Lonchura striata: one gene and its partners. The protein of the gene in region 3 purifies or fractionates together with the protein of the main gene of each other region. This does not show direct contact. Links are inferred from orthologs where the notes say so. Each region holds a gene or a part of one and is shown on either strand. Other genes may lie near its edges.

Region 1 (7,149 bases), on a different chromosome or scaffold from region 3:
GGCAGCCTCATGCAGCTCTGCAGCTCACAGCCAGGAGTGAGGGAACGGGGACAGGGACAGCTTGGGTGTACAGAACAGAGCATAGGGACAAGCCTTCACACTTTTGAAAGGAGGCTGTGAAGTTGTGGATAGATTTAGCAAATCCAGCAAGCAGCAGCAGTTCTTGGAAGGGAAAGATTTGGGGAGTTCCCTTGCTCCTTTATCTCAAGCAAAGTTTACTGTAGGAATTTTTGAACCAAAATGCAAGTTCCTCTTGTATCCTTTGGATATCAGAGATTTCTGCTCTGCCTTGAATATCATCACCAACACTTCAGGAGCTCCCTAGGCTGTGCTGCACACCCTGCTCATACCAACCTTGGTGCTGGATGTGCTGAACTCCAGTGGGACCTCTCCAAAAAGCACATTTTCCAAGATTCTCCCATGAAAATTATTAATTTATTAATAACAGCATTTAGTGCAGTACCATGTGCTTCAGGGAAGAGAGTTTGATCCATTCATTCCCAAATCCTCTTGCAAACAGAGCACAACATTTCCCTGACTCGAGCACAGGGCCCTTCTGTGTACAGAGAAATAGGATTAAATCAGTCAGTTCTGTGTCTTTTAAATGCTCCGTGTCATGCAGGAGAACCTGAGTCATTCCCCAAGGCACACAGGGCTGCTGGCAATGTTTGCCTCTTGAGGAGCAGCAGCTGATTTTGCTGTAATTGTGAACATGCAGCAAGAGCAGAGGGTTGTGTCACCCAGCAGGGCAAGCACATGGCAATGCAGGAAATACTGCTGCTCTGCTCCAGCAGCAGCCAGAAGGTAACAGGACCCCCAGCTGGAACCCACTGAGGAGATTAAAACCATCTCAGGCTGCACTGCTGGTGGCTCTGAGAGCTGGAGCCAAACCTGTCTCATGGGTTTGGGATGCAGGAGGAGAGCAGCGGGGATGGATGGATGTGCCAGCAGGGAGCAGGAGTGGTCCAACATGTGAATGTGGTTAGGAAGGGTTTCATCATTCCCTACTCATGGAACACAAGCAGGGGATGGCACCTGCGGGTGTTTTCTGAGACAGACCAAAGAGGAGGGAGAAGGTGAACTCAGGAGAATGTGTACTCCCAAAAACTCTTCATATGGATGTGGTGAGTTTGAGGCTGAGCTCCAAAGAGTGCTGGTGTGCCCCCAGGTGTCCTGATTTCAGGCGGGAATTTAAACGGGGTAAACTGTGATAGGAAATTTGGGACAAGAATTAGAGCTTGTTCAGGAGAGAAGGGACAGTAAGTTCTACATGCACATTGCACTTCTGTGTCATCCTCCCAGACTTCCAGAGATTATCCTGGTCCCTGTGAGGTCCCTCGGACCTCCATCCCCACCCTGCTTAAATGTCTACAGCAACTTTTGGTGCCTTATCTTAATACCAGTAGTTCCTCCAACCAGAAGCTGCACTTCTGGTTCCCAGCCTAAATATACTTATGACCTGTTTATCTTTGCTTGATTCAGGGCCGTGATTTTGCAAAAAATGTAACAGCCAGCCCACATAAGTACTTTAAAATGCTGTCTCATATCAGATGCTTAGACCAGATCCTGCAGTTCTTGCATGGCGAAAAATCCTTGTGACCTTGGTGACTCTTCTCCCCAAATAGCATTGGAATAAGGATTTGCAGGCTGGTCCTGTTTCACACCAGCTCCTTATTCCAGCAGCCCCACACTGCTCAGACATGTATCCAAACAACCCAGGGCTTCCTTTAAGGTAGAGTAGAAGCTCCAGGAGCAAAATGAGTGTGAGTTGAGTATTGGTGATTCAGAGTAACATTTTACATCTGTGCAATAATGTCACTGAAAATGCAGAACTGCCTGCCTTTCTCTTTATCCAGTGATTTCGTGGTGGTTAAGGTTGGAAAAGGCTTCAGCCAGAACTTGAAGCTGCTGTGCAGCAGAAGGGTGGGGAGTCCAGCCTTTCTCCAAAACATCATCCCTGTGTAGGAAGGAGAGAACACACATGAGCTTGGGCTCCCTTTGCTCCTTGCTCCAGGGATTCCCTCGCTGCAGAAGACAGGGAGAAAAAGCTTTTCAGGGTTGTACCCAGGCACTGCCTTTTGTGGGAGTGATGCTGATGTGCCACTCGTCTGTTTTAGCACCAAATTCTCCGAAACACGGCACTGTGCTCACTGTACTCAAACACTGTGAGTTGTCAGACACAGATAAAAGCTCCCCAACATTAACAGCAGCAACACTCCAACTGCTAAATTCAGCTTTGAAGTTAGCAACCCACTAAGCCATGGAGGCTGCTCCTTTCTGCACTGACTCAGTGGGACGATTTACATCCCACAGCTATTTTTACAGGGAAAGAATGAGAAAAAAGCCGCACATTTATTTTTCAAAATCCAATCTTGGGTTCTAAAGAATTGTTTGCAGCAAGCCTAGATAGGTTTCCATGCCTATTCATCCCCTGGCTTATTTGATGAGCTTGCCAGCAGGAAGGATTTTAATTCCTTTTTATCCCAAACTATTTTTTCCACAGCTGTGATATGTAATGGTTCTGCCAAATAATTTATGCTCAAAATCTGACCTATATGGAACAGTATAAGATGCTGAGCATGTTCTTGGGATTTAAGGGCAGAGTTGGTATTTCACTGTAGGATTTTTAATGGAAGCCTACAAGAAAACATTGTCCTACACCTAGTTTAATCCTATTATTATTACTATTATTATATGTTACTAATATTATAAGATGTGTTTATGGCCCACTTGCAACAGCATACAAAAAAGAATCTTATGAAACAGCCATATGAAAAGACATAGAACGTGTACGTGTTTTATAGGACAGTTTCAAAACCTATCTTTTACTCAGTGCCCATATTTCAGGCCATATCATCAGACATCAGTTTGAATGTTGGTGTAGACTGCAAGTAATGTTAAGAGTTGCCATATGGCTTTTTAAAGCCTATTTGGCAGAAGCATTCACCCCTCTAAGGGTCCAGTGTTGCAAATACAGTAATGGCAACTTTCAATGGTAAACATCTCAAATGGTAAATTCGGTCTGTACTTTAAAATATGTACTGTGTGGGCAAAATCTGCTTGGGAGCACAAGCTGCTTCAGGGCATGAGAGGTGGGAAGGATGGGAAGGCTTCGTTTCGGTTTCAGGGGAACACAGAGGCCACCAGCACCCACACACCGCTGTTCTCAGATCCAAATGCTTCATCACGCCCAGCGCAGCTCCCAGACCTCCCCTCCCAGGCTCAGTGGCACGGACATTGCCAGTGCACATCAAAGTCCCCTGAGGAAAGGAAAGGGCAGAGCATCATCCCGAGATGTGACAGACACGGGTTCAAGTGCCTGAGGGGAATGTTTATCCCGTGCAGTATAAACACATCAGTCCGGGAAGCAACGTATTGCGCAGAGATGCCTTCAGTCACTTTGTGGAGATAAATACTAAGTTTATATCCTCCCAGCCCGGGTCTGCCTTGCCCATATACGGCCCCAGGATCGGCACTGCCTTGGCTTTGCTTCAGGAGCTGGAAGCGTGCGGATCCATCCCTCCGCACGGGCTTCGGGGCTGCCGGTGGGTGTCAGGGCTGCGCCCCGGGGTCGGCGGATTGGGTCCAGCTCAGCCCTGCGAGCCACAGGCTCAGCTCCGAGGCTGCCGGGATGGAGCAGGAGCATCAACGACCTCCATCCGCTTTTACAGCAGCGCTTTGACCTGCTCCAACGCCTGCGATGGGTTCAGCAGATGCGTCCTCCAGCCTCCAGGAAAGCCAGCATCTCTTGGGACACCAGTTCTGCTGATGGTTTGGCTGGGGACATGAGGGGAGGAGAAGTTTTCGAAAAGTAACGCAAAAGGACACGGCGGGGGGGTGCACGGCGGCACGGTGGGCTCCCGTTTGCAGCGGGGAGGTCGCGGGGGGCCGGAAGGGAGAGGCCGGGAGGGCCGGGGCCGAAAGGGAGAGGCCGGGGGCGCCGCGGGGCTCCGGGCGCTGCCCCCGCCGGCGGCGCCAGCGCGGCCGCGGCCCCGGGCCCTGGGCGGGGCCTGGCGCGGGCGGCCAATGGCGGCGGGGCGGCCGCCGGGCTCATTTGCATTCGGGCGCGACGCAGCCAATGGGCGCGCGAGGCGCCGGCCGCGCTGCGCTCCAGCCGCCCCGCCCGGGCGGCCGCGGCTCATTCGGAGAATGGCTGCGGCCGCGGCGTGCGGCTCCCCGCCTCCCCGCCCGCCCCGCGAGCAGCCGCCGCGCAAGCGGGGCGACTCCCGGCGGCGGCAGGCCGCCCTCTTCTTCCTCAACAACATCTCCCTGGACGGGCGGCCGCCCTGCCCGCCCGCCGAGAAGCCGCCGCTGCCCGCCGGCCCGGGCGACGGGGAGGAGGCGGCGGCAGAGCCGGCCGGAGCCCCCCCGCGGCTGCTGCCCCCGCCGCCCGTATGCCAGCCGCCGCCCGCCCTGCTCCTGCCCGGCGTGCCCGCGCTCGCCGCCGCCGGAGCCAAGGGGGATGCGGACCCCGCCCGCGGGGGCATCTTCCTGCCGCAGCTGCTGCTGGGCGGCCCGCTGTGCCCGCCGCCCCCGGCGCCGCCCGCCCTGCCGGGGATGCTGGCGGCCCCCAAGCCGGGCGCCCCGGGGCTGCTGAGCCCCGCGCCGAGCGCGCCGGGCGGCGGCTTCGCGCTGGAGGCGCAGCGGCAGAGGTGAGTGAGGGGACGGGGCTCGCCGGGCCGGCCCACACCCCCGCCGCGCTGCCCCCGCGGGGCGTGGGAAGCGCCGGACGTTCCCAGGGCCCCGGGCCGGCCGGCGGCTCCGGGCGGGGGAGCGGGGCATGGGAAACGGGCGGCCCCGGGCACAGCGGCCGTGGGAGGCGGCGCCGGCCCCGGCCAGAGGCGCGCGGGGGTCCGGCCGGGGAGCGCTGCCTCGGCAACGCCGCTCGGGCCCGCGGACGAGAAGGATGCCCCGGCCGGCGCGGCGGCGGATGAGGGGGATCCGCGGAGGGGATTTCTCTCTGAGGCTCTGTCTGCAGGTTTGCGGTACCCTGAACCCTGCCTTCTGCTTTTCCCCAGCCCAGTTTCTGCATTTCTCTGTTTCCAGATGAAGCTGGCGGGGGTCACTGTTAGGCAGAACGCTTCCACCACTGCTGGTGTCGTGCCTTCTCCTGCTCTTGTGCTGCTTGTCTCTGCAACTGTGTATTAATGAATGCTTGTGCACAGGGAACTTGTCAACCTCGCGGGAGGATGCTCTGGCCTTCAGAGCAGGATTACCATTGCATTTCCAAGGGACTTCTGTCAGGCTGAAAGTGTTCCTTTTCTAATCGACTGGAAGGCAGGTTCTTGCTCAGATCTTGGGGATTTGAGCTCTGAAAGAACTCTTTTCAGGCTGTTTCTTGCATAAACAGCTCTGTAAAATGAGCTGGCCCTCTGAGCTGCACATAGGCAGCAGTACCAAAGGCTTTAAGTCTCTGTGGTCTACAGTGGCTTCAAGAGCTTTGTCAATGAGCTGAAATAGAGATGTTGTCAGTGCTTTAAAGCTGGGGAGTTTGCTAATGCAGTTGATGTGTATCGCACTGTGGAGATGTCCTGTGTATCCCCAGCTTGGGGGTTCAGGTGAATTTGAAGAGAAGCAGTTTTGACTGTCAGTAATGTGGGGGGGTCCTCATGTGTTCTCCTTTCTGGGGTGTTTTCCTCTTGAAATGTTATTTACCACTCATTGCTTTTCTTGTCATGGAACAGACCTTTCCCTCCTTGTTTCTGAAGAAATTGAAGCTGTGGCTGCCAGCTGGGTGCCCTGTATTGTGCAGTTGTGTGCCGCTAGTTGAGCAAGAAAGCCTGGAGTGAGGGTGTTGCTGTGGAACAGTTCCTGCCTAGCACTCCTGGTCCACAAAAGCCAGCACAGGAGGTGCTGTGTCATTTAATTTCATTGCTTTAATATTGTAGGCAAAGCTCTTGAGGGCAAGTTTTGCATCAGGTGTTTCATAGCACAGTTACCTTTGTGGATGTGGCTTTCGTTGTGCCTCTGTGTGCAGACTTCTGGAGAGATGATCCTTCCCCTTCGCATGCCACGTCAATAGGACACTAAGAAAATATTCTTAGGATCTTCTCATTTGATGTCCTTCCTGCCTCTTTCTTTGGCATCAGGTTTGAGCTGTTCCACTACGGTAATTCTAATCAATCTGGCTGGAAAGAATGATGAATCAGAAATACAAGGTAGAGAGGAATGCTAGAAGGCAATCAAGGGAATCAAAAGGATTCTGTCTGAGTAATGACAAAATAAACCGTGATTTTTTTGCTTGGAAGATTTGGCTGGAAGGGTATATTGTATTGATCAGTTTGCATACTACTTTTGAGGGGGATTAGAGTGAGAGTTCATCCAGTTTTCAGCTTGAAAGAAAAAGGACATCCACTGAAACCATCAGACAGAAGAGTCACATCTTTACATGGACACACTCATCTTCTGACACAAGGACAGTTTTGTGCTGCCTGTGGAATGTTAGAGCCAATGTACCTCATGCCAGTCACACTGGGCACAAGAGTGGGTGAAATGGACTGTCCCTCTCTAATGACAGTTTCACTGTCCTCTTACAGGGTGACTGACTTACCGCTTTATTTTTCCCTGGACAGTTTCATGCTTTGGTCCGTGACAGAATCTCTCTCCATCCCCACTGAGCGGAGGCATCTCTTCTTGTTGTAACTACACGAGGAGTGATTCAGGGAATTGCAGGAGGAATGTCCTTCAGGACACTGATGCTTTTACTCTGTCCCCTTCTGTGTTGGATGAGCTGTTTGCAAACTAAGATTCCAAAGTCAGCAATTACAAAATGTATCCCCTTTTATTAGGACTTGGGAATCTGAGAGTTGTTTTGCCTTACAGCGATGTTGCTACTCTAGATCATTAACTGCCTGCATCATGTAGAGGTACAGGCAGGTGAAGTTGGAGGGAAGGGGGAAGTGGAATCTGCACTGCCATCCTGGACTTTTCATCCTTGGTATCCACTTCAGGCAGCTGCTCTCTTCAGAATCCTTTTTGAGTCACTGTCAAGAGCAGCTTTGAATTTTCCTCAGATGCAGGAGGATCACTGGCTGCAGGGTCTCCAGACTCACTCTGCCTGTGTTCCCTGACCAGTCTTGTGCCATGTCTGGGAATTTCATCGTGCTGGGGCTTGCCCTGATCCATGGAGATCTCTGTCTCCTATCAGCA
Region 2 (7,690 bases), on a different chromosome or scaffold from region 3:
CTGGAGGTTCCTCCAAGAGGCAGCAGCTTTAATTTAGAACAGGGTTGTGTTGTGGGGTCGGGGTTGTGCAGAGGTGCCGGAGCGGGGCAGCCGGGAGCCGGAGGCAGGCCCTGCTCCTACCTGTCCGTGGTGTCCCTGTGCGTGTGTGTGTGTGTCAGGCTGTCCCTGTCCTCCCCGTGAGGACAAGCTGTGAGCCAGTGGCCCTCCAGCGCATCCCAGTTCCCAGTAGGGCAGGCTGGTGGAGAGTGGGATCCAGCCAGCCCCTGGGACACCATGCTGGTCACCTGTGAGGTCACTCCCTGTGTCTGTGCAGGCTGTGGATGTGGAGGAGCTTGTCCTTCCCACCCGGAACGTGTGTGTGTGTGTGTGTGTGTGTGTCCGTGTGTCTGTGCACGAGGGTACTATTTAATGTCTATATTAGCACTATCTACACACTATGGAGCTGGGGCCCTCATGTATCCTGCATTCCATGCCTTGGCCAGCAGTGAGGGGCAGGCGGATGGATCTTGCAGGGGATGCCTTGGAGAGTGGCCCAGAGCTCAGCAGGGAGAGCAGAGCTGACCCTGCAGACACCTTCCCAGCTCGGCCCATCCTTCCCATGACACAGAGCCCAGGGCAGGACCGTGTGGGGATGGAGAATGGCCGGGAGCTGACATGGGCTGGGGTGTCATGCCAAACCCAGAAGACATTTTGGGTTTTGTAGGGACGAGGCTGTGCCTGGGGATGCAGCATGTGCTGGGTGCCTCCCTGCACCCAGTGCTCCCACATGGAGATGTGCCAGTGCAGAGTGGCCCCACTGGATGTCCCCTTGTCACCCATGCCATGCTGCCACCCTCAAGGCCACGCCGTGCTGTGCTGTCCCTGTGTGCAGACCATGTGGCTGGAGGGACAACAGCTCCAAGTGACGGGCAGCAGGTCAGGGATGCACCTGGGGTTATTTCCTTCCTCCGTGGGTTTTAGGGAGCTGCTTCCTGCTGCCGTGTCCATGGCAGCAGGACTGTGGGACCGAGGGTGGCACACCTGTGGCACTGCCATCACCATCAGCCCTGCCTCCCGCTGCTTGTCCCCAGCCGTCCCCTTCAGTGTTCCTAATAAACCGAGACTGGTGACAGCTGGGGACCTGTGCTTTGTATTGCTGGTGCTGAGTGCAGACAGGGCTGTGACCCAGGGGCTGCACCTGTGGGGACACAGGGCTGGGGCTGAGCGAACGGACACCTGTGCAAGTGTGGGCTCTGGATTTGTGACCAGCCCACCTTGGGGACAGCTGCTGGAGGCTGCGCTGTCCCATGAAGCTCTGAGCCCTGCCCCAGCTGCAGGAGGCACTTGGAGAATTATACTAGGAAAAAAATTGAGGATGAGATTTATCCCTTCATCTGCTGAGAAATAAAAGAGAAACTTCCCTTTCTCTAAAACTTACTCAGACTTCATTAGCTCAGACAAAAATATACAGACATTGGGTGAGCCCTGCTGGTAGACCAAGTGTGTATCGCTCTTCCCCCATCCCTGCCAGTCCTCATGCCTCCAAATCAGCAGCACAAGGTCAAATGTTTCCTGGGAAGTGCTGGCCTGCTCTGGGCCCTCACCTCCCTCCCACAGTCACAGGTTGGTGCCAGGCTCAAGGTTCCCCCTAGCACTGGTGCTTGGCCACACCGCGGTGCCAGCAGAAAGATCTGTCGCCAAATCCAGCGAGATCTCTGGAGCATGTTGGGATCCTTTCCTCAGACCCGGTCCTAAGGTCCTGGGATGCACCAGGAAGTCCTTGAGCAGCCTTCTGCTGCTACCAGAAGGTCCAGGGGGGCTGCATCATCTCGTAGGTGGGAATGCTGGTGACGTTGACAGGAATGGAGATGACGGCCCAGGGGAGCCCGTGCTGCTCCAGGGAGCGCCTGATCATGTACCTGGGGATGGAGGTGACAGGGTTGGAGAGCGGAGCCACACCAAGCCCAGAGCACAGCCCAGCTCCACGTGCCCCTTGACCGCCACTGAATCCACGTGGATGTGGCTGCCACAGCCTGGCAGGGCCACGCCGAGCAGCGGGCCCTCCCTGCCGAGAGGGACGAGGCTGTCACCGCTGCCAGGAACGTCCCACCCTGGGAAGCAGCCCGGGCACGTACCCGTCCCTGCCCAGCAGGAAGAGCGCGGGGATGTCGGCCGTGCGCCGGGAGCTGTCCTGGATCATCTCGATGTAGAAGCTGTCGTTGTCGTAGGCGTTGTCGGCGATGATGACGGCGCGCCCGCCGTGCTCCTGGATCACGCGGGTCTTGGACAGGAAGGAGCAGCCCCTGCCCCACAGAGCGACCACGCCGTCACCCACCTGGGGTGGCCGCAGCGAGCTCCAAAGCTTGCTCCAAAGCCTGCACCTGCCAGAGCTGGCCTGGGCACACCCAAACTAGGGATTGTCTCCCTGATTCCACACCTCCTCCAAACCCCGCTCCTCCGAGTCTGTATTTCAGCTACAAGCCACCCACATTCCTAAAAAAAAATTAAGTAAAATCCTGGAATGGTTTGGGTTGGAAGAGACATTAAAGCCCATCCAGTGCCACCCCCTGCCATGGCAGGGACACCTCTCACTGTCCCAGGCTGCTCCAAGCCCCAGTGTCTAGTCTGGTCATGGACACATCCAGGGATATGAGGCATCCAGAATTTCTTTGGGCAACCTGTACCAGGGCCTCACCACTCACAGAGAAGAGTTCTTTGCAACTGTCTAATCTAAACCTATTCTCAATCTGAACTCGGGCAGCATTTTTTCTACCTTGCCACAGGCTAAAAAATACAAGATGCAATTCTCCAGGGTAGGAACAGCCTTGCATTTTCCCAGTTTATCTATGTGGGGAAAGCCCCAGGAAGATCTGGAAGTGATGGGGAGATGTGGCCAGGGCTCCCCTCCTGCCCAGCAGGGTCCCCCAGCAGCTGCCACCATGCCAGACCTACCCCCTCTCCACCAAGGCGATCTGGTCCTGGATGAAGACCCCATTGTTCAGCTCTCCGCAGGCCTCCGGAGGATCCGCGGGGACCAGGTGGATCTGGTCATACCTTGTGTTCTCCGAGGAGACAGGCAGGGGTGAGCCGGGGGGACGGAGCTGCTCCCCCTCCCACGCCCTGCTCATCCCTGTGGGGGCTGCTCTGGGGGAGATTTTGGGTTCCCAGGCTCAGGGACGCTCAGAGCCAGCCCTGGTGCCAGTCCCTGACTCTGGCATCCTGCTGAGGCCAGGGATGCTTGTGGAAGAGCAGTGAGCTCCATTTTAATCAAAACCCCAAAGCACTGAGTCCCAGCGAGGAGCAATATTGGCATGGAGGGACCCAAAGTGGCAAATTCAGTTTTTAATACTTACAAACACGCCACCGAAATCCTTGGCTGGGGTGGCAGTGAAGATGTAGCGGATGTCTCCAGGGCTCAGCACTTGGAAGTACAAATATTCATGGATGCGTAATCCTGGGGGTGAAAAGACAGAGCTGAGGCAAGGGAAACTTAAAGGCAAAATCCCTGAAAAAAGGGAGAAGTCCGTTATCACTCCTGAACCACCGGGGAGAGAACACGCCCTCCAGCAATGCCAAATCCTGGCTGGGCCCAGGTCCCAAAATTCCCCAAAGGTTTTGGGGTGTTCCAAGGGCAGATGTGGCAGTTCCCAGGGACTGACAGGGGATGGGGATGGGAAAAGCACCGGGACTGGGTGCTCAAGGGGAAGGGAAAATGCTGCTGGATCATGGAGGGGAGAGAGGTGATAGGCACCCAGACCGAGGGGAACAGAGGGGAAACCCACCAGGATCACAAATGGGAGGGAAAACGCACTTGGATTAGGATGCAGCAGGAAATGCAATGGAGCTGGGGCGCAGTAATGGGAAAAGCACCTGGATCACAGGGAAATCCGAGGGGCTCAGACCCCACCGAGAGGAAATGCCGCAAGATTGGGGTGCTGGGTAGGGAAACTGGGTCGAGGTGCACCCAGGGAATTGCAGGAGAAACGCACCCGGATCGGGATGTAGGAGGAGAAACGCAATTAGGTGGGGGCGCACCGAGGGGAAATGAATGCCCCGTATGGGTACGGGAGATGAACGGCAACGGGACCGGAGTGTCGGGAGGGGAAATACACCGGGACAGAGACACGGGAGGGGAACGGCAAGGGGCTGGGAGGGGAAATACACCGGGACAGAGACACGGGAGGGGAACGGCAAGGGGCTGGGAGAGGAAATACACCGGACAGAGACACGGGAGGGGAACCGCAGCGGGGCCGGGGTGCCGCGAGGGGAAATACACCGGGATGGCGGGGCGCCGGGCGGGGAGGCGGCCGGCCCGGGATGCCCGGGCTGTGTGCGCGGTGCGGGCGCGGGGCCCGGGTGGTCGCGGCCCGGGTTGTGATCGCTGTCCCCGCTCCGTGCCTCCCTCCGTCCCTCACTCACCGCGGGCCGGGCAGCAGCAGACGCAGAGCCAGAGCCAGAGCCAGAGCAGCATGGCTGCGCCCCGCCCCGCCCACCGGGCCGCCCCGCGCTCCCCATTGGTGCATGGTCTTACCGCGCTCCTTCCTATTGGTCTGCGCCGCCATCAATCACGCGCGAGCCGGCGCGGGCAGCTCGCTGTCACCGCGGCGTTCGCTGCCAAATAGTGATCTATTCAATTTCCCACGCTGCGCGCCCTCTTCCCTCCCTGCCAAATAGTGCTCCTCCCCGGCCCGCCCCCGGGAAGGTTCTGGGCGGGCGCGGGGCATTGTGGGGCCGGGAGCGAGCAGCCGCCGCGATGATGGTGAGTGAGCCCCGCGCCATCCGCCGCCATCCGCCGCCATCCGCCGCCATCCCCGCCGTCCCCGCCGTTCCCGCGTCCCGCCGCGCTGCCCGGCCCGCGGGGCCCCCGCCGGCCCCCAGCGAGCGGCTGCGGCGGGCCGGGCCGGGCCGGGCCGGGCCGGGCCGGCGGGGATGGAGCGCGCAGGCCCGGCGGAGCCGCGCCCGCCGGAGCCGGGCTGCGCCGGCCGCGGGCCCTGGCAGCGGCAGCCCCCGGCCCGGCCCGGCCCGGCCCCGCCGGGATGCGGGAGGTGGATGTGTCTCCGGGCTGATTGCCCCGGGGAGGTGGATGTGTCTCCGGGCTGATTGCCCCGGGGATAACCGGTTCTGTTTCCCTTGGGATCTCCGCGCTGTGGGTGTGGAGGGAGGCTGTACGTTCTCTTCCACAGAATAGTCACGGTGGAGATCGCTCAGTTCAACCCCTGCCTATGCAGGGTCACCTGGAGCAGGTGACACAGGAGCGTGCCCAGGTGGCTTTGGGATGTCCCCAGACCCTCCCTGTGCAGCTGTGCCAGGGCTCTGTCACACTCCATGGAAAGTTCTTCTTCATGTTGAGGGGGAACTGCTTGTGTTTTAATTTATGTGCTGTTGCTGGGCATCACCAAAAACAGTCTGGCACCAACGTGTTGGCACTGCCTCGGATAGATTTGTGTGGATTGATGGGATCCCTCTCAGCCTTCCCTTCTCCAGCCTAAGCAGGCCCAGCTCCTCAGAGGAGAGATGCTCCAGACCCCGGAGATGTTTTTTGTGCCCATCAACCTCTGCAGTATCTCCTTGTGCTTGTGACTCCTCAGTGCAACAAGAACAGTTTAGTTCTGCTGTGTGCCTGCTGAGCTGGTTCAGCACTTAATTAGTTCAGTTTAGTTCTGCCTCTGAACTGGCTGTTCCGAGCCAGTGCATCCCAAATTTGGGCAGTGTTTGGACTTTGCCCGAGCTCAGCCTTTGAGATGATTGAATGGTTTGGGTTGGAAGGGGCCTTAAGACCCACCCAGTGCCACCCCTGTCATGGCAGGGACACCTCCCACTGCCCCAGGCTGCTCCAACCCCAGTGTCCAGCCTGGCCTGAGACACTGCCAGGGATCCAGGGGCAGCCCCAGCTGCTCTGGTGCTTTGGCCACTCAGACTTGTTTGGTTCCTCACTTCTCTGTAATTCCTGCAAGTTCTGTCTCCTCCAGGCCAGCATCAGATCAGCGCCTCGGTGGGCCCCGCCGCCCCAAAAACCCGTTATTTTTAAGACGATTCCTGTGTGGTCCCCGAGCCTGTGGCGGAGCAGTTGTGTGAATTCCCAGCGGGATGGGTGGTGTGGAGCAGGGGAATTGCAGCGAGGCCGTGTTTTAGGTCCTGCTCCTGCACACGGGTGCCTTTTGGGCCGGCAGGAGTTTGTTCTGGGCTGGGCTAACGGCCGTGCCGCGCTCCTCCCTGCAGCCAACGCCGGTTATCCTGCTGAAGGAGGGCACGGACACCTCGCAGGGCATCCCGCAGCTGGTCAGCAACATCAACGCGTGCCAGGTGATCGCCGAGGCCGTGCGCACCACGCTGGGCCCGCGCGGCATGGACAAGCTCATCGTGGACGATCGGGGTGGGTGCGGGCCTTGGCCCTGCGCGGGTTAAAGCGGCTTTGTGTCTGCTCAGTGCCAGCAGCCTCACCCTGCCAGGCTCAGCTCTGCCTCGGTGGCCCCTTACAAAGCAGGGCTTTGCCTGCCTGACAGCTGCCAGTCCAGCCTGAGGATTCCTGATGGCTCCCCAGGAGCTCCTGAGGAGATGCAGAGCCAGGGGGGTTGTGCTGCCTTGGGAAGGCTGGCCTAGAACAGGGGCTGGACAGAGCTGAAGATTAAAGCAGGGATTTATTCCAGGATCTCCTCATGGATCCACCTTGGGCTGCACCAGAGCCCAGCCAGGGCTGCACCCAAATGACCCAAAATGGTCCCAAAATGCACGAGCACTCCCGGGGCTCTCCCTGGGATCAGTTCTGCTGCATTGGCACCTTGGAGTTCATTGTCCCATTCCAGCTCCAGCCCATCAGTCCCATCCTGCTGGTTTTTCTCTCTCCAGCCCACGGTGTTTGTGCTCCTGGGCTGAGGTTTGGATCATTGTCCTTGGTGCTCAGCTGGAGCAGGAATTGTTTTGTCCCTGCTTTCTGATGAGAGCTCATCAGTCCCTAAAATAAAACCCAGACCTGCACACTAAAGCAGCACAGAACCTGAAAAATAGAAAAGCAAAACCTGAGGCATCAGTTGGATGCATCCAGTGTCAGTCTGTGCCAGACAGGAGAAGCAGAGAGGCTTGAACCTCTCTTCAGGTATTTTTGGTCATCTCTATTTTTAAATGAGGCTCATGATACCTGTGGAGTAACTCAGCAGTTGTGGCTGAGTGTGAGGTCAGTGGATGTTCCTGGGCTGATTTTTAATCTATTTTTTGAAGTGTGATTTAGAGATGAACTTTGTGGTCACTTTGAAAAGACTGGTATGAAGTCACCATAATAATAAATAATAAATAATAATAATTACTTACTACTTTTGTTACTGAAGGGTGGCGTAAAAAGGTTTAGTATTGTCTTTAAGTAGCTTTTCCAAGTAGGAACTGTAATAAATCCTTGTTCAAAAGGATAATTCAATTTAAATTTCTCTTATGACAACTAATATGATTTCTAGACTCTTTCTTCATGGGAGTCTCAGACTAGAATATGGTTTTATCTGTCTAGGGAGGCCTTTGAGAAGGGGGAAAATGAATTCCAAACCTTTGTTGGTGTGGAAAGTTGTTCTGCTCTCAGACTGACTTCACTGAACCTGCTCCACAAATGGGCTGACAGGAGTGAGTTCTGGTGGAGCAGAGGAGGCTGCTGAGATTGCTGAGAGCCCCCAGAGACAGGGCTTTACCCCTGCCAGTGCACAGCTGCCTTTAACTCCCTTTTCTGCAC
Region 3 (7,344 bases):
GGGTCCCTGCTCCTGGTCCCGGAGGGTCCTGCCCCTCCACCAGCCCTGTCGGGTTCCCGTGCCCTTGGGAAGTGCCCTGGCACCGGTGAGTCCCGTGGCCCCGGGGGAGCCCCAGCCCTCTCATCCACCCCCGGGGCTGGGGGCCGGGCGCGCCAGCCCCCCGCAGCCGGGGCAGGTCCTAATAAATACTGGGGGGGCTGCAGTCGGGGGGCTGGCACCCGGCTGGGCGGCTGGGGCTGCCCCCTCGGGGGCCCTAGGGGGGGCAGAAGTCGGTGAAGTAGGGGTGCTGCAGGGCCTCCTCCGCCGAGATCCGCTGCACCGGATTGCACTTGAGCAGGTTCTGGGGGGCACGGGGGGCTCAGGGGGGAGAGCACGGACCCTCCCCCTCCCACAGCCCACCCAGGCGGGCAGGGGGCTGCAGGCGGGAGGGCACCCACGCCCAGGAGCCAGAGCCCCCACGGGGTGGGCAGGGGTGACACGTGTGGGGGACGCTGCGGTGGGACAGGAGCAGGGGAGTGCAGGCTGGGAGACACACCCAGGGTGGGGGGCACGGGAAGGGGAGCACAGGGGAGGGGTCTCACCTGCAGCAGGTCCCGGCCAGTCGCGTTCAGCTTGGGCACCACGTTGACCAGGGAAGTGGTAGCTGGGTACATGGGGTAGGGCTGGGGACACACAGGTGACCCCAGCTCCCCCAGACCCCCTTATTTCCTCTGACCCCCCGCGCCCCCTGCCCTCACCTTGTAGTCCGGCAGCTTGGCCATGGCCGGCCACTGCTCCTCCGTGGGGGTCCCCAGCAGCGTGGGGACAGTCAAGGGCCACCACGGGGGCACCCAGCACCTGGCCCTGCCCCCCTGCCCAGCCGAGGGGGTTCCCATTTCAAGGGATCCTCATTCTCAGAGCTCCCCATTCCGCAGGGGATTCCTATTCTGCAGGGCTCCTCCTTCCCAGGGGAGGTCTGCATTCCCGAGGGCTCTCCATTCCAGGATTTCCCCAATCCCCCATTCCAGAGGGATTACCATGCACAGTGCTCCCCATTCTCAGGGGATTCCCTATTCCCAGGGGAAGTCCCCATTCCCAGGAGGAGTCCCCATTCCCAGGGGAAGTCCCCATTCCCAGGAGGAGTCCCCATTCCTTTGGGTTCCCCATTCCCTGAGCTCCCCATTCCCAGGCCGTCCATTCTGGTGCTCCCCATTCCCAAGGATATCGGAAGATCCTCTTCAGCTGGTCGTCCACGTCGTTGCCCGGGAAGAGGGGCCGCCCTGCGTTGGCCAGTTCTGGGGGGACAAGGGGTGGTTCCCACAGGCCCCCATGGCCCCCCAGGCCCCCCTCCGCTCCCCTGGCCCCCCAGTGTACCTGCAAAGATGCACCCGGCTGACCACATGTCAATGGAGGTGGAGTAGAGCTTGGCACCGAAGAGAACATCGGGGGGCCGGTACCACAGAGTGACCACCTGCGGAGGGACAGGGACACTGGGACCGGGACACGGGACCCCCAGCCAGCTGGGCAGGGCCAGGACCCCGGGCCCCAGCAGCCCCAGCAGCCCCAGGAGCCCCCGCTCACCTCGGCTGAGTAGCAGCGCACAGGGATGCCGAAGGCCCGAGCCAGCCCGAAATCCGCCAGCTTGAGCTCCCCGTTCTGGGGGGACAGACGGGGTCAGCGTGGGGGGCCCCACCTGCATCCCCTGCACCCCAGGACTGTGGCCCTGTTGCCTTTCTCATCATTGGGAACAGGGGAGAGATGGAGCTGCAGCTGTGGCTGGACAGACACCAGGTGTGGCTGCCAGGACAGACAGACAGACAGATAGGCAGGCAGCCCCCATTCCCAAGTGTGACCCCTGAGCACAGCCCCGCTCCCAGGTGTGACTGCCCAGGACACACAGACAGACAGCCAACCAGCCAGCCCCATTCCCGAGCGCAGCCCCGCTCCGTGCCCGGTCCCGGCTGTTCCCCGTGCTCCCGCCGCCGCACCCGGTTGATGAGCAGGTTCTGGGGTTTCAGGTCCCGGTGCAGCACGTTGCGGCTGTGGCAGAAGGCGAGGCCCTTCAGCAGCTGGTACATGAACGACTGCGGGGGCACGGGCGGGCTCCGTCAGCCAGCCCGCGGCACCGGGCGGGGCAGGGCCGGCACCCCGGGGGCTCCCCGGGACCCCCGGACCCACCTTGACAATCTCGGGGTCCAGATCCCCGTTGCAGCTGTCAAAGTATTTCTTCAGGTCCTGAGGGAAGCGAGGGGGGCCGGGAGCGGTGACCCTCAGAGACCCCCCCGGACCCCCGTGCCCCCCCGGACACCCGTGCCCCCGGAGCTCACCTGGTCGCAGAACTCAAAGACCAGGGTCAGCTTCTTGTCGCTGTGCAGAACGTCGTGCAGCCTGCAGGGCAGGGGTTCCTGAGCCCCGCAGCGCCTGGCCGGGCCCGGGGCACCGGGCAGGAGCATCCCCCGAGCCGCGACGCCGGTACCCGGGGCCGCCCGGAGCCCCCGGGGCCGCCCGGAGCCCCCGGTACCTGACAATGTTCTTGTGCTTGAGCTCCTTGAGCAGGCAGATCTCCCGCAGCGCCGAGCTGGGCACCCCCTGCGGGACACGCGGGTTGTGGGAGCCGGGGCTCCCGGGGGTCCCGGGGGGCGTCCCGGGGTCCCGGGGGGATCCCAGCCCCGGCCCCCCCCTCACCTCATCATCGTCGTCCAGCCGCACTCGCTTCAGCGCCACGATCTCGTGCGTCTCCCGGTTCTTGGCCTTGAACACGGTCCCGTAAGTGCCTGCGGGAATGGAACGGGGTCACGACCGAGGCCCCGGTACCCGTGCCGACACCGCCGCCGGGCCCCACAGCAGCGCCGGGCCCCGCGGCAGCACCGGCTCCCTCCGTGCGGCTCCGGCCCTGCCGCACCTTCGCCGATCTTCTCCAGCTTCTCGTATTTCTGCATCGCGCCGCGATCGGTCGCGGCCCCGCAGCGGCCCCGGTCCCGGTCCCGGTCCCGGCCCCGCCGCGCCTCCCGGCAGCCCCCGCGCGCCCCGCCGCGCCTCCCGGCGGCCCCGCGCGGCCCCGCCCCGCCGCGCCTCCCGCGGGGCCCGCCCCCGCCCCGGGGTTCCGGGTTCGAGCCCCGGCTCCGCCCGCCGCCTCCCCGCCGGACCCCCGGCTCCCCCCGCCGCCCCCCGCGGGACAGCGCCGCTGCGCGGGCGCCCGGTGGGGATCCCTTGCGGGGACGGTCTCCGCGCTCGCTGGGTCGGTGCCGGAAGCGGTGCGGACCCGCCCGGTGCCGCCCCGCCCCGGCGCGCTCCCGCCGTTCCGCCCCGCGGGAACGCGCAGACCCGCCCGGCGCGGCTGGACCGTCCGGTAAGCAGCGGCACCGGCACCGGGATCGTGAACGGAGGTGGTGAGGCTGGCGGGGCTCAGCACGGCTGGTCCGGTCCCGGTCCCGGTCCCGGTCCCGTTCCTGGTCCCGTCCCAGTGTCCCCACCCTCCCGGTGCCGCCCGTCCCAGTCGGTGCTGTCCCCGGTCCCCGCACGCTTCTCTCACCGAGCCCCCTCCATTCCACTGCCTCCCCGCCCGCCCGCGGCAGCTCCGATCCCGGTCCCGGTCCCGTCCTGCCCCGCCCTGGCAACCCCAGGTCCCGGCGCGGCCGCGGCTGTGCTTCTCCCAGTTCCTCCCCGGGGCCCCTGCCGCGCTGGGGGGGTTCAGGGGGGCTGTGCCGTGCCCCGGGACTCCGGTTCTCCCGGCACATGCTCCGGGTGCCTTGGCTCCTTCGGCTCCAGGTGGAGCAATGCCCAGCCCGGGCATCCCCCAGGGCCACCCCGAGACCCCTCCCGGACACCCGGGACCCCTCCCGGCCCGCAGCGATGCTGCCCGGGACGTTGAAGCTCGGCCGCTCTCCGCCGCCACCGGAGCTCCGCGCCGGGCGGTCCCAGGTGCCCCCGGAGCCTGCTCTCGGGGTGACGCTGGATCCCGGGGGCACGGGGGAGCCAGGACCCCGCATCCACCATCGTCCCTCTCTTACAGCGAGGCCGCTCCATGCGCTTGCCCCGCGGCGCCTGAGCCCGGCAGCCCTCGGCAGGTGAGTGACGGGGCTGGGGACCCGCCGTGTGTCCCTGTCCCAGGTCCGGAGCACCCTGCAGCCCCCCGCTCCCGGGAGCCGAGGGGTCCGAGGGCTCCACAGGGCCAGGAAGGGGTCTGGGCTCATCCAGCCACCCTGCCCCGGAACGGAGGGTCCGGGGGCCCGGGGAGTCGCGCGGTGCCCGCTGAGAGCCGCCGGGTGCCGGGGCACTGCCCCTTGCGAAACCATCCGGGGTTGAGCAACGCCGGGCACGGCTCCAGCCGGGGCTCTCCCACGGAGCGTGGGCTCCCATGGCCCGGGAGCGTGTCCCCGGGGAGGCGGCAGCAGGTTTGGGGTGGGAGCAGGTTTTGGGGGCTGCGTTGCCCGTGGCTGCTTCTCCCCAGCTGCAGAGACCCTTTTGGTTTTGATACGGGATCTGGGATTGCTCCGTGGTGGAATTCTGTTGGCAGCTCCCAGTGCTGCGGGAAGGGCTCCGTGCCTGCCCCGTCCCCCCACGGAGGAGGGCTCCAGTTGGGAACCTGCTGTCGAGCCCTTCGGGGTCGCTGCACCACTTCAAGCGGTTGCCAAAAAAACCGGGATTTGATCGTTCTAACGATCCGCTGGCACCGGCGCCTCGCCTCCCTGCCGGCAGCCCTTCCGTTCCCGGGGCTCGGGTAGGTCTGTACCTGCATTGTCACCTGTCCTGGCCGGGCAGGGACGCTGCAGGAGATGGGGCTGCCGGCAGGCTCCGAAGGATGGGCTGGGGCACCCTCCTGGCACCCCGTGCCCTGCGCAGGGCTGAGGGGGACCCAGGTGCCACCCTGCCCGGGAGCGCCGTTCCAGCCGGCGGAAGGGAGGGACCGTGGGAGCCGTGTCCCCGCGCTGTCCCCGTTTCAGCCCCCACAGCCGCAGCCTGTCATTAGACGGGACGCGGCGGCCGCAGGGGCCGGGCTGGCTGCCCGAAGCGCCGCGCTGGGGCATTCCAGGGGCGTCAGGCCAAGGGTGGGGGGACACAACCCTCGCCCGAGGCGGGACCCTGCGCTTACGGAGGGGGTCGTGTCCCCTGTGTCCCCAAAGACGCCTGGGCGGCAGTGGGGTCGCCACGGGAGCCACGGCGAAGGACTTGGCAGAGCTTCCCTGATCGGATCCGGGGCTGCTCCGCGGAACAAAGGCTCGCGCTGCCGCCGCTGCTCCCGCGGGTTGTTTTCCTCCGGAGCCGGGATAAAGCTGCGGGCAGCGCTCGGCAGCTCCGGGCACAGCGCCGCTGCCCGCGGGCCGGCTCCGGACGGGCCTCGCCCCTGCCGTGCCGGGGTCCCGCGTCCTTCCCGCGGGCAGGAGCCCGGCCTGGGGGGCGGGAGCGGCGCAGCTGCCGGAGCCCCGGCTGACCGGCTCGGCGGGCGATGGGGTGAGTGGGGTGCAGCCCGTGCTGGGGCCGGGGTGGCACGGCGGGAGCGACACCTCCCCGCTGGGCTCCGGCAGCCCAGGGTGCAGGGCGGCCTCCAGCCCTGCCGCAGGTGCCACAGGGGCTGTCCCTGTGGCCAGACCACCCCTCAAGGATATCCCATCCTGCAGGCACCGAGCTGTGGTGCTGGTGCGTGTCCCCACGGGATTGCAGGGGGCAGCTGTGCCTGTCCCCTCCTGGGGCTGGCACGGGGACAGTGGTGGGGACCGCCGGCAATGGCAGGAGGCTCTTGCGGGTCTGGTGCTGTGTGGGGGGGTCCTGGCCTCCCTGAGGCAGCAGAGAGGTGGTGGCGGGTGCCTGGCACATTGGTGACAGTGGCAATGCCAGTGCTAGTGGCACCATGTGGGTACAGAGCTGTGACTCATCTCCACCTCCGGTGGTTTTGAGGTCGTGGGCAGGGGTTTGGGCAGGGGGAGGTGAATATTTTTGGTGTTGGTTTCTGAAGTTTCTGTGTGTGAAACTGCTGGGTGGGAGCCAGTGGTGTCTGGCCCAGCTCCATCCCGTGGTGATGAGGGGGTGCAGGATCCCAAGTGCTTCTGCTGGGTGGGATCTGGGGGCACACTGGTGCCACTGACACCCAGGGGTTTCCAGGAGCAGCTAGGTGAGATGGGGCAGGGAGCAAGGGGCTGCAGGGAGCTGGGGCTCTCCTGTCTCTGGGAGTGGGCAGAGTGCTGGGGCCCCCACTGGGCCTCCTCCATTTCGGGGTGCAGGGATCTGGGGATCTCCTGACTTCCCTCTTCCATGGACATGTCTGCCCAGGCGATGGGCACAGCCTGAGCTGTGCTGGCCTCGCCCCAGCCATTCCTTCTGCCTGGCACATGCCGTGCTGGAGGTGCTGCCAGCAGGGAGGCTACAACAGGCACGGTGTGCTGTTCCTTGTCACCAAGGGGAGCTGGTGTCTCCACCAAGCCCGGGGAACGTGCTACGGGGGTCACCTTCAGCCTTGATGCCAGTGTGGGCACAAGCATGGGCGGCACATGTGTGTGCACTGAGCCCGTGTCAGGGATCTGCCAGGTGACATGGTGGTGGCAGGAGATGTCCTGGCAGGAGTCATGGTGCTACTGCTAAGGGGGGCACTGCCATGGGAGAGTGGGCAGGAGGACGTTTGCTGCCATGGGGGTCCCCCACTCCCAGTCCTGCCTCTTCTCATGGGGTTTTGGCTCTGTGCTATGGACGGGGTTATCCTGCTGTGGATGTGTGACCTGGCTTCCCAGGACGTGGGTGTCTCAGTGGGGAGGTGATTGTCCTGGTGTGGACAGGCTGCCCAGGATGTGATTGTCCCAGGACAGATGTGGTTGTCCTGGTGTGGACAGGCTGTCCAGGACATAATTGTCCTGGTGTGGACACGTGTATCCCGGTGTGAATGCCAGCATCATGGTCCCACTTCCCGCCGTGCTCGGCCCGCTGCCCCAGTGCTGGCAGTGCCAGTGGTGCCAGAGGTGGGTCCCGGCACAGGCTGGGTCCAGGAGCTTGTGAGCCCTCCGGGCAGCCCCAAGGCAGTGCGGGGCCAGGGCCAAGCCCTCTAATCGCCTCAGCAGCTCAGGCAGGCCAGGGCCGGTCCCAGGAATGTGACTCCGGCGGCGCGGGAGTGGCCGTGGCAGCGGCGCTGAGCGCCCGTGGCAGCGACGGGTCATTCCCAGCGTGGCCAGGGCTGGCAGCCACCCGGGGTCGCGGTCCTGCCCCGTTTATCGGGGCGGCCCGGCCTCTCACAAGCACGCATTGTGCCGCGGGGCCGTGCGAAGGGCGCGGCCGGCGGCGGTGCCAGCACCGGCACCGGCACGGTCCTGTCACCGCCATGGCCCCGGCTGTGTGTCCTGACCCTCCTGCCCGAGAGGAGGGCAAGGTGGTGTCACTGCA
Region 4 (7,015 bases), on a different chromosome or scaffold from region 3:
GGACCCCGAAACCGGGGAGAAAACCCCAAAATCGGGGGGCAAATGAGGGAGAAACCCCGACAACGGTGAGAAAACCCCAAAAACGGGGGGATAAACCCCAAAACAGGGGGGAAACCTGAAAAATGGGGGGAGAAAACCCCAAATAGGGGGGAAACCTCAAAAATTCAGGGGGCCCCAAAACTGAGGAGATCCCCAAAACCCTGCACCAAGCCCCAAAATCTGCTCCCGAAACTCCGAAACCACACCCGACAGCTGGAGCTGCTTCCCCAGTGCTCCCAGCCCTCCCAGTCCCCCCATTCCCAGTGCCCCCCATTCCCCCCAGTCCCCCCATTCCCCTATTCCCAGTCCCCCCAGTCCCTCCCAGTGCCCCCAGTCCCCCCAGTGCTCCCAGTCCCCCCCATTCCCCCATTCCCCCAGTCCCTCCACCATTCCCCCATTCCCAGTCCCCCCATTCCCATTCCCATTCCCATTCCCATTCCCCCATTCCCATTCCCATTCCATTCCCTTCCCCCATTCCCATTCCCCCATTCCCATCCCCATTCCCCAGTCCCCAGTCCCCATTCCCATTCCCATTCCCATTCCCATTCCCATTCCCATCCCCGTTCCCATTCCCATTCCCATTCCCCCATTCCCATTCCCATTCCCATTCCCATTTCCCCATTCCCATTCCACTCCCACTCCCATTCTCATTCCCATTCCCATTCCCACTGCCATTCCCATTTCCATTTCCCCATTCCCATTCCATTCCCACTCCCATTCCCATTCCCACTCCCATTCCCATTCCCATTCCCAGTCCCCCCATTCCCCATTCCCCCCATTCCCCCCATTCCCCCATTCCCCCATTCCCATTCCCATTTCCCCATTCCCATTCCCATTCCCATTCCCCAGTCCCCCCATTCCCCCATTCCCATTCCCATTCCCATTTCCCCATTCCCATTCCCATTCCCCCATTCCCATTCCCATTCCCCAGTCCCCAGTCCCCATTCCCATTCCCACTCCCATTCCCATCCCCATTCCCATTCCCACTCCCATTCCCATTCCCATTCCCCATTCCCCCCATTCCCAGTCCCCCCATTCCCAGTCCCCCATTCCCCATTCCCCCCATTCCCCATTCCCCCCATTCCCCTTCCCATTCCCCCGTTCCCATTCCCATTCCCACTCCCATTCCCATTCCCATTTCCCCATTCCCATCCCCATTCCCATTCCCCCATTCCCCCATTCCCATTCCCATTCCCACTCCCATTCCCATTCCCACTCCCATTCCCACTCCCATTCCCACTCCCATTCCCACTCCCATTCCCATCCCCATTCCATTCCCCCACTCCCATTCCCATTCCCATTCCCATTCCCATTCCCATTCCCCCCATTCCCACTCCCATTCCCACTCCCATCCCCATTCCCAGTCCCCCGTACCGCTGCACGAGCAGCGCCTGCCGCTCGGGGGGGATCTGGAAGAGCAGCTGCTGCAGCAGGCGCGGCGGCGCGTGCAGGAGCCGCTCCAGCATCTGGAAGGTTCTGTAGTGGTCGCGGGTGTCGCTCTGCAGCACGGCCACCGAGGTGCCCTCGCGCTCCAGCACGCCGCCCCGCAGGCGGCGCGCCACCGCCTCGGCCACTGCGGGAGCGCGGCCGTCAGGGACACGGGACGGGGGACAGGGGACAGCCAGGGGACAGCCAGGGGACAGGGGACAGCCAGGGGACAGGGGACAGCCAGGGGACACGGGACGGGGGACAGGGGACAGCCAGGGGACACTGAGACAGCCAGGGGACAGCCAGGGGACAGCCAGGGGACACGGGGACACGGGGACACGGGGACACGGGGGACCCCGGGGCCGTACCCGAGTGCCCGTCCAGCCAGAGCCGGTACACCTCCTCGTCGATCAGCGTCGTGTTCCCCACGAACACGTCCAGGTCGCTGCTCATCCCTGCGGGGCAGAGGTGCCAGCGTCAGCAGGGTCACCGTGTCACCGTGTCACCGTGTCCCCAACGTCACCGTGTCCCCAACGTCACCAGGGTCACCGTGTCCCCAGTGTCACCGTGTCACCGTGTCCCCGGTGTCACCGTGTCCCCATTGTCACCAGGGTCACCGTGTCCCCAGCGTCAGCAGGGTCACCGTGTCACCGTGTCCCCAACGTCCCCAGCGTCACGACTGTCACAGTGTCCCCGGTGTCACACTGTCCCCGGTGTCCCCGGTGTCACGGTGGCCCCGCGGCCCCAGACACGCTGGCAGGGAGACACCAACCCCAAACTGGGCCAAACTGGGACCCCAGACCCAAACTGGGACCCCCCAGACCCCAAACTGGTACCCCAGACCCAAACTGGGACCCCCCAGACCCAAACTGGGACCCCCCAGACCCAAACTGGGACCCCAGACCCAAACTGGGACCCCCAAGACCCAAACTGGGACCCCAGACCCAAACTGGTACCCCAGACCCAAACTGGGACCCCAGACCCAAACTGGGACCCCCCAGACCCCAAACTGGGACCCCAGACCCAAACTGGGACCCCCCAGACCCCAAGCTGGGACCCCAGACCCAAACTGGGACCCCCAGACCCCAAGCTGGGACCCCCCAGACCCCAAGCTGGGACCCCAGACCCAAACTGGGACCCCCCCAGACCCCAAACTGGGACCCCAGACCCAAACTGGTACCCCAGACCCCAAACTGGGACCCCAGACCCAAACTGGGACCCCCCAGACCCCAAGCTGGGACCCCCCAGACCCCAAGCTGGGACCCCAGACCCAAACTGGGACCCCCAGACCCCAAGCTGGGACCCCCCAGACCCAAACTGGGACCCCAGACCCAAACTGGGACCCCAGACCCCAAACTGGGACCCCCCAGACCCCAAACTGGGACCCCCCAGACCCAAACTGGACCCCAGACCCCAAACTGGGACCCCCAGACCCAAACTGGGACCCCAGACCCAAACTGGGCCGTACCGGGACCCCCCGCCCCTCCCCCACCCACCGGCGCCGTCCCGCGCGCTCCCTCCGCGGCGCAGAGCGGTGACGTCACGTGTGCCGGATGTGACGTCACGGATGGGCGCGGCCGCGCCGCTCCGGCCCCTCCCTCTTCCGGCCCTCCCGGGCCCCCCCCAGTAAAAACCAGTAAAACCAGTAAATACCAGTAAAACCAGTAAATACCAGTAAAACCGGTCCCTGTCCCAGCCCCCAGGTCCAGTCCCAGTAAGAACCAGTAAAACCAATAAGAACCAGTAAGACCAATAAAACCAGTAAGAACCAGTAAAACCAGTAAAACCAGTAAAACCAGTAAGAGCCGTCTCTCCCAGTTTATTGGGGGTGGGGTCGCGGGGGGGGCCGGGGCCCCCCCAGTCCCTCGGTGGGGGCGGGGCTGGTCCTGGAGCTGGGGAGGCGCTGGGGAGAGAAGGGGGGAACTGGGATGGACTGGGATGGACTGGGATGGACTGGGAGGGACTGGGATGGACTGGGAGGGACTGGGAGGGACTGGGATGGACTGGGAGGGACTGGGAGGGACTGGGAGGGACTGGGAGGGACTGGGAGGGACTGGGAGGGACTGGGAGGGACTGGGATGTACTGGGATGGACTGGGATGTACTGGGATGGACTGGGAGGGACTGGGAGGGACTGGGATGGACTGGGATGGACTGGGAGGGACTGGGAGGGACTGGGATGGACTGGGAGGGACTGGGAGGGACTGGGAGGGACTGGGATGTACTGGGATGGACTGGGATGTACTGGGATGGACTGGGAGGGACTGGGAGGGACTGGGATGGACTGGGATGGACTGGGAGGGACTGGGAGGGACTGGGAGGGACTGGGAGGGACTGGGAGGGACTGGGAGGCACAAGCACCCCCCAGCACCACCCAACCCCAAACTGGGACCCCCCAGACCCAAACTGGGACCCACCAGACCCCAAACTGGGACCCCCAGACCCAAACTGGGACCTCTGACCCAAACTGGGACCTCTGACCCAAACTGGGACCCCCCAGACCCAAACTGGGACCCCCCAGACCCCAAACTGGTACCCCAAACCCAAACTGGGACCCCAGACCCCAAACTGGGACCCCAAACCCAAACTGGGACCCCCCAGACCCCAAACTGGTAGCCCAAACCCAAACTGGGACCCCAGACCCCAAACTGGGACCCCCTGACCCAAACTGGGACCCCCCAGACCCCAAACTGGGACCCCCAAGACCCAAACTGGGACCCCAGACCCCAAACTGGGACCCCAAACCCAAACTGGGACCCCAGACCCCAAACTGGGACCCCCCGACCCAAACTGGGACCCCTGACCCATACTGCCCCCCCCATACTGGTCCATACTGGTCCGTACTGGGAGCCGCCGGTGCCGCGGGAGCCGGGGGGGCCCGGGGGGGCCACGAGTCCGAAAAGGGCCTCGGCCAGAGCCTGGGGGTCAAAGGTCACAGCCGGACCCCAGACCCCGGGGGGTCGGGGGGGTCGGGAGATATTTAGGGGATATTTGGGGGGATTTTGGGGAGATTTTGGGGGATTTTTGGGGGGGATTTGGGGATTTTGGGGGGAATTTAGGGGATATTTTGGGTTGATTTTGGGGGGTATTTGGGAGATATCCTGGGGATATTTGGGGGATATTTGGGGGATATTCTGGGGGATATTATGGGGATATTCTGGGGGATATTTTGGGTTGATTTTGGGGGGTATTTGGGAGATATCCTGGGGGATATTCAGGGGGATATTTGGGGGATATCTGGGGGATATTTCGGGGATATTTGGGGGGATATCTGGGGGATATTTCAGGGATATTTGGGGGATATCTGGGGGATATTTCAGGGATATTTGGGGGATATCTGGGGGATATGTGGGGGATATTTGGGGTATATTTCGGGGATATCTGGGGGATATTTAGGGGATATTTTAGGGATATTTGGGGGATATCCGGGGGATATTTCGGGGCTATCTGGGGGATATTCGGGGGGTCTGGGGCGCGGTCCCACCTGCAGCGCCCGCAGCAGCCGCGTGCCCAGCCCCAGCACGGCCCCGGCCGAGGCGGCGCCGAGCGCGGAGACCCCACGGGCGACCCCACGGGTGACGCCCCCGGGACCCCCCCCGGCAGCGGCGGCAGCAGCAGCTCCCGGAGAGCCCGCCCTGGGGGGACAGGAGGGTACTGGGGGCACTGGGGGCACTGGGGGGACTGGGAGGGGACTGGGAGGGGACTGGGAGGGGATTGGGGGGGAACTGGGAGGGACTGGGAGGGACTGGGAGGGACTGGGAGGGGACTGGGAGGGACTGGGAGGGGATTGGGAGGAACTGGGGGGGAACTGGGAGGGACTGGGATGGACTGGGAGGGGATTGGGAGGAACTGGGAGGGACTGGGGGGGAACTGGGAGGGACTGGGAGGGACTGGGAGGGACTGGGAGGGGATTGGGAGGAACTGGGAGGGGATTTGGAGGGACTGGGAGGGGATTGGGAGGAACTGGGAGGGAACTGGGAGGGAGTGGGATGGACTGGGGGGGGGGATTGGAAGGATAACGAGGGCACTGGGGACAGGGGGACATTGGGGCCACTGGGGATACTGGTGCCACTGGGGACAGGGGGACACTGGTGCCACTGGCACAGGGGCCAGCGGTGCCAGCGGCGCCACTCACAGAGCTGCAGCACGGCGTGCACCGGTGCCACCCCGCCCAGCAGCCCCGGCAGCTGGTGACACCGAATGTCCCGGAGCCACTCGGACACGGCGTAGGACACGACCCGGCCCAGCCCCAGCAGCCTGGGGGACAGGGGGACACGGGGGGACACGGCACGGCGAGTCTGGGGTCACGCAGGACCCCAGGCCCCCACCGGCCCCTTTGTCCCATGTCCACCCCAGTGTCCCCCCCTGTCCCCAGTGCCCCCCAGTGTCCCCCAGTGTCCCTCTTGTTCCCAGTGCCCACCCGACCCCTCTGTCCCCATTGTCCTCCCGGTGCCCCCCATTGTCCCCCCAGTATCCCCCAGTATCCCCCACTGTCCCCCCGTGTCCCCGTGTCCCACTGTCCCCCCCATGTCCTGCTGTCCCCCCGTGTCCCCGTGTCCCCCCGTGTCCCCGTGTCTCCCTGTCCCCCTGTCCCCGTCCCCGCCGCACCCCTGGCGGTGGCAGAGCCGCTTCAGCCGCAGTTGGGAGCAGTTCAGCCGCGCCAGCCCGATCAGGATCCCGGCCAGGGCGCCCTGGGACACGGGGACAGGGGGACACGGGGACGGGGGACAGGGAGGGGTCACAGGGAGGGGACAGCACGGGGTCATTGGGGAATGGTGGCACCGGGACACGGCCACGGCTGTCACCCCCTGTCACCCCCTGTCACCCCGTCACCCCCTCACCTGCTCCATGGTGACGCGCTTGCCGCGGTAATCCAGCCAGACGGGGACATCGGCCATGAAACGGAACTCGCTGGGGACAGAGGGACAGGGACAGGGACAGACAGACAGGGACAGGGATGGGGACAGGGACACACGGACAGGGACAGGGGAACAGGGACAGGGACAGACAGACAGGGACAGGGACAGGGATGGGGACAGGGACAGATGGACAGGGACAGGGATGGGGACAGGGACAGAGGGACAGGGACAGGGACAGAGGGACAGGGACAGGGGAACAGGGACAGGGACAGACGGACAGGGACAGAGGAACAGGGACGGGGACAGACGGACAGGGACAGGAAGAGCGCCGTCAGCCTGGGACAGCCCAGTCCCCCCCAGTCCTCCCAGTTCCCTCCCAGTCCCCCCCAGCCCCCCCAATTCCCTCCCAGTCCCCCCCAGTGCCCCCAGTTCCCCCCCAGTCCATTCCCAGTCCCCCATAATCCCCCCCAGTTCCCCCCAGTGCCCCCAGCCCCACCGGAAGTAGATCGGGGGTGTCTCCGTTTGGGGGTCCCGCTCCGGGGGCGGCTCCGGCCGGGGGGGGTCCCCGACCCCGGGGGGGCCTGCAGGAGGAGGGGGGGAGGGGAACAGTGAGGGGACCCCCAAAGCCGGGAGCCCCTCCCCCCCCAGGGCCCTCCCCCAGCCCAGCCCCTCCCCCCCGGCCGCGGTACC

Evidence for each region.
Region 1: the proteins of CDK5 (region 3) and CABLES2 purify together in Homo sapiens (affinity purification with mass spectrometry; 6 studies listed by BioGRID and IntAct, with this or other methods). This does not show direct contact. The link is inferred for Lonchura striata from reciprocal best matches to the Homo sapiens genes CDK5 and CABLES2.
Region 2: the proteins of CDK5 (region 3) and CCT7 purify together in Homo sapiens (affinity purification with mass spectrometry; 3 studies listed by BioGRID and IntAct, with this or other methods). This does not show direct contact. The link is inferred for Lonchura striata from reciprocal best matches to the Homo sapiens genes CDK5 and CCT7.
Region 4: the proteins of CDK5 (region 3) and FIBP purify together in Homo sapiens (affinity purification with mass spectrometry; 7 studies listed by BioGRID and IntAct, counting the BioPlex papers as one, with this or other methods). This does not show direct contact. The link is inferred for Lonchura striata from reciprocal best matches to the Homo sapiens genes CDK5 and FIBP.

The regions. Positions count from the first base shown.
Region 1 is NC_134619.1:5,155,549-5,162,697, reverse strand, and holds the start of CABLES2 (CDK5 and ABL1 enzyme substrate 2), read left to right. Parts: upstream 1-4,149; coding exon 4,150-4,652; intron 4,653-7,149. UniProt on the Homo sapiens protein: Unknown. Probably involved in G1-S cell cycle transition.
Region 2 is NC_134606.1:733,362-741,051, reverse strand, and holds the start of CCT7 (T-complex protein 1 subunit eta), read left to right. Parts: upstream 1-4,688; 5' UTR 4,689-4,732; coding exon 4,733-4,738; intron 4,739-6,198; coding exon 6,199-6,352; intron 6,353-7,690. Other genes in the region: PRADC1 (protease-associated domain-containing protein 1), read right to left, coding at 1,778-1,898, 2,115-2,282, 2,932-3,041, 3,333-3,433, 4,399-4,450. UniProt on the Homo sapiens protein: Component of the chaperonin-containing T-complex (TRiC), a molecular chaperone complex that assists the folding of actin, tubulin and other proteins upon ATP hydrolysis.
Region 3 is NC_134603.1:156,839,575-156,846,918, forward strand, and holds the start of CDK5 (cyclin-dependent kinase 5), read right to left. Parts: upstream 3,015-7,344; 5' UTR 3,004-3,014; intron 2,992-3,003; exon of another isoform or gene 2,967-2,991; 5' UTR 2,919-2,966; coding exon 2,882-2,918; intron 2,754-2,881; coding exon 2,665-2,753; intron 2,569-2,664; coding exon 2,501-2,568; intron 2,368-2,500; coding exon 2,307-2,367; intron 2,215-2,306; coding exon 2,158-2,214; intron 2,064-2,157; coding exon 1,968-2,063; intron 1,636-1,967; coding exon 1,561-1,635; intron 1,451-1,560; coding exon 1,354-1,450; intron 1,275-1,353; coding exon 1,205-1,274; intron 799-1,204; coding exon 738-798; intron 663-737; coding exon 582-662; intron 341-581; coding exon 254-340; 3' UTR 1-253. UniProt on the Homo sapiens protein: Proline-directed serine/threonine-protein kinase essential for neuronal cell cycle arrest and differentiation and may be involved in apoptotic cell death in neuronal diseases by triggering abortive cell cycle re-entry. Interacts with D1 and D3-type G1 cyclins.
Region 4 is NW_027461085.1:11,892-18,906, reverse strand, and holds the start of FIBP (acidic fibroblast growth factor intracellular-binding protein), read right to left. Parts: upstream 3,015-7,015; 5' UTR 2,964-3,014; intron 1,923-2,963; 5' UTR 1,921-1,922; coding exon 1,836-1,920; intron 1,613-1,835; coding exon 1,414-1,612; intron 1-1,413. Other genes in the region: autophagy-related protein 2 homolog A-like, read right to left, coding at 4,783-4,803, 5,040-5,101, 5,602-5,723, 6,075-6,157, 6,308-6,364. UniProt on the Homo sapiens protein: May be involved in mitogenic function of FGF1. May mediate with IER2 FGF-signaling in the establishment of laterality in the embryo.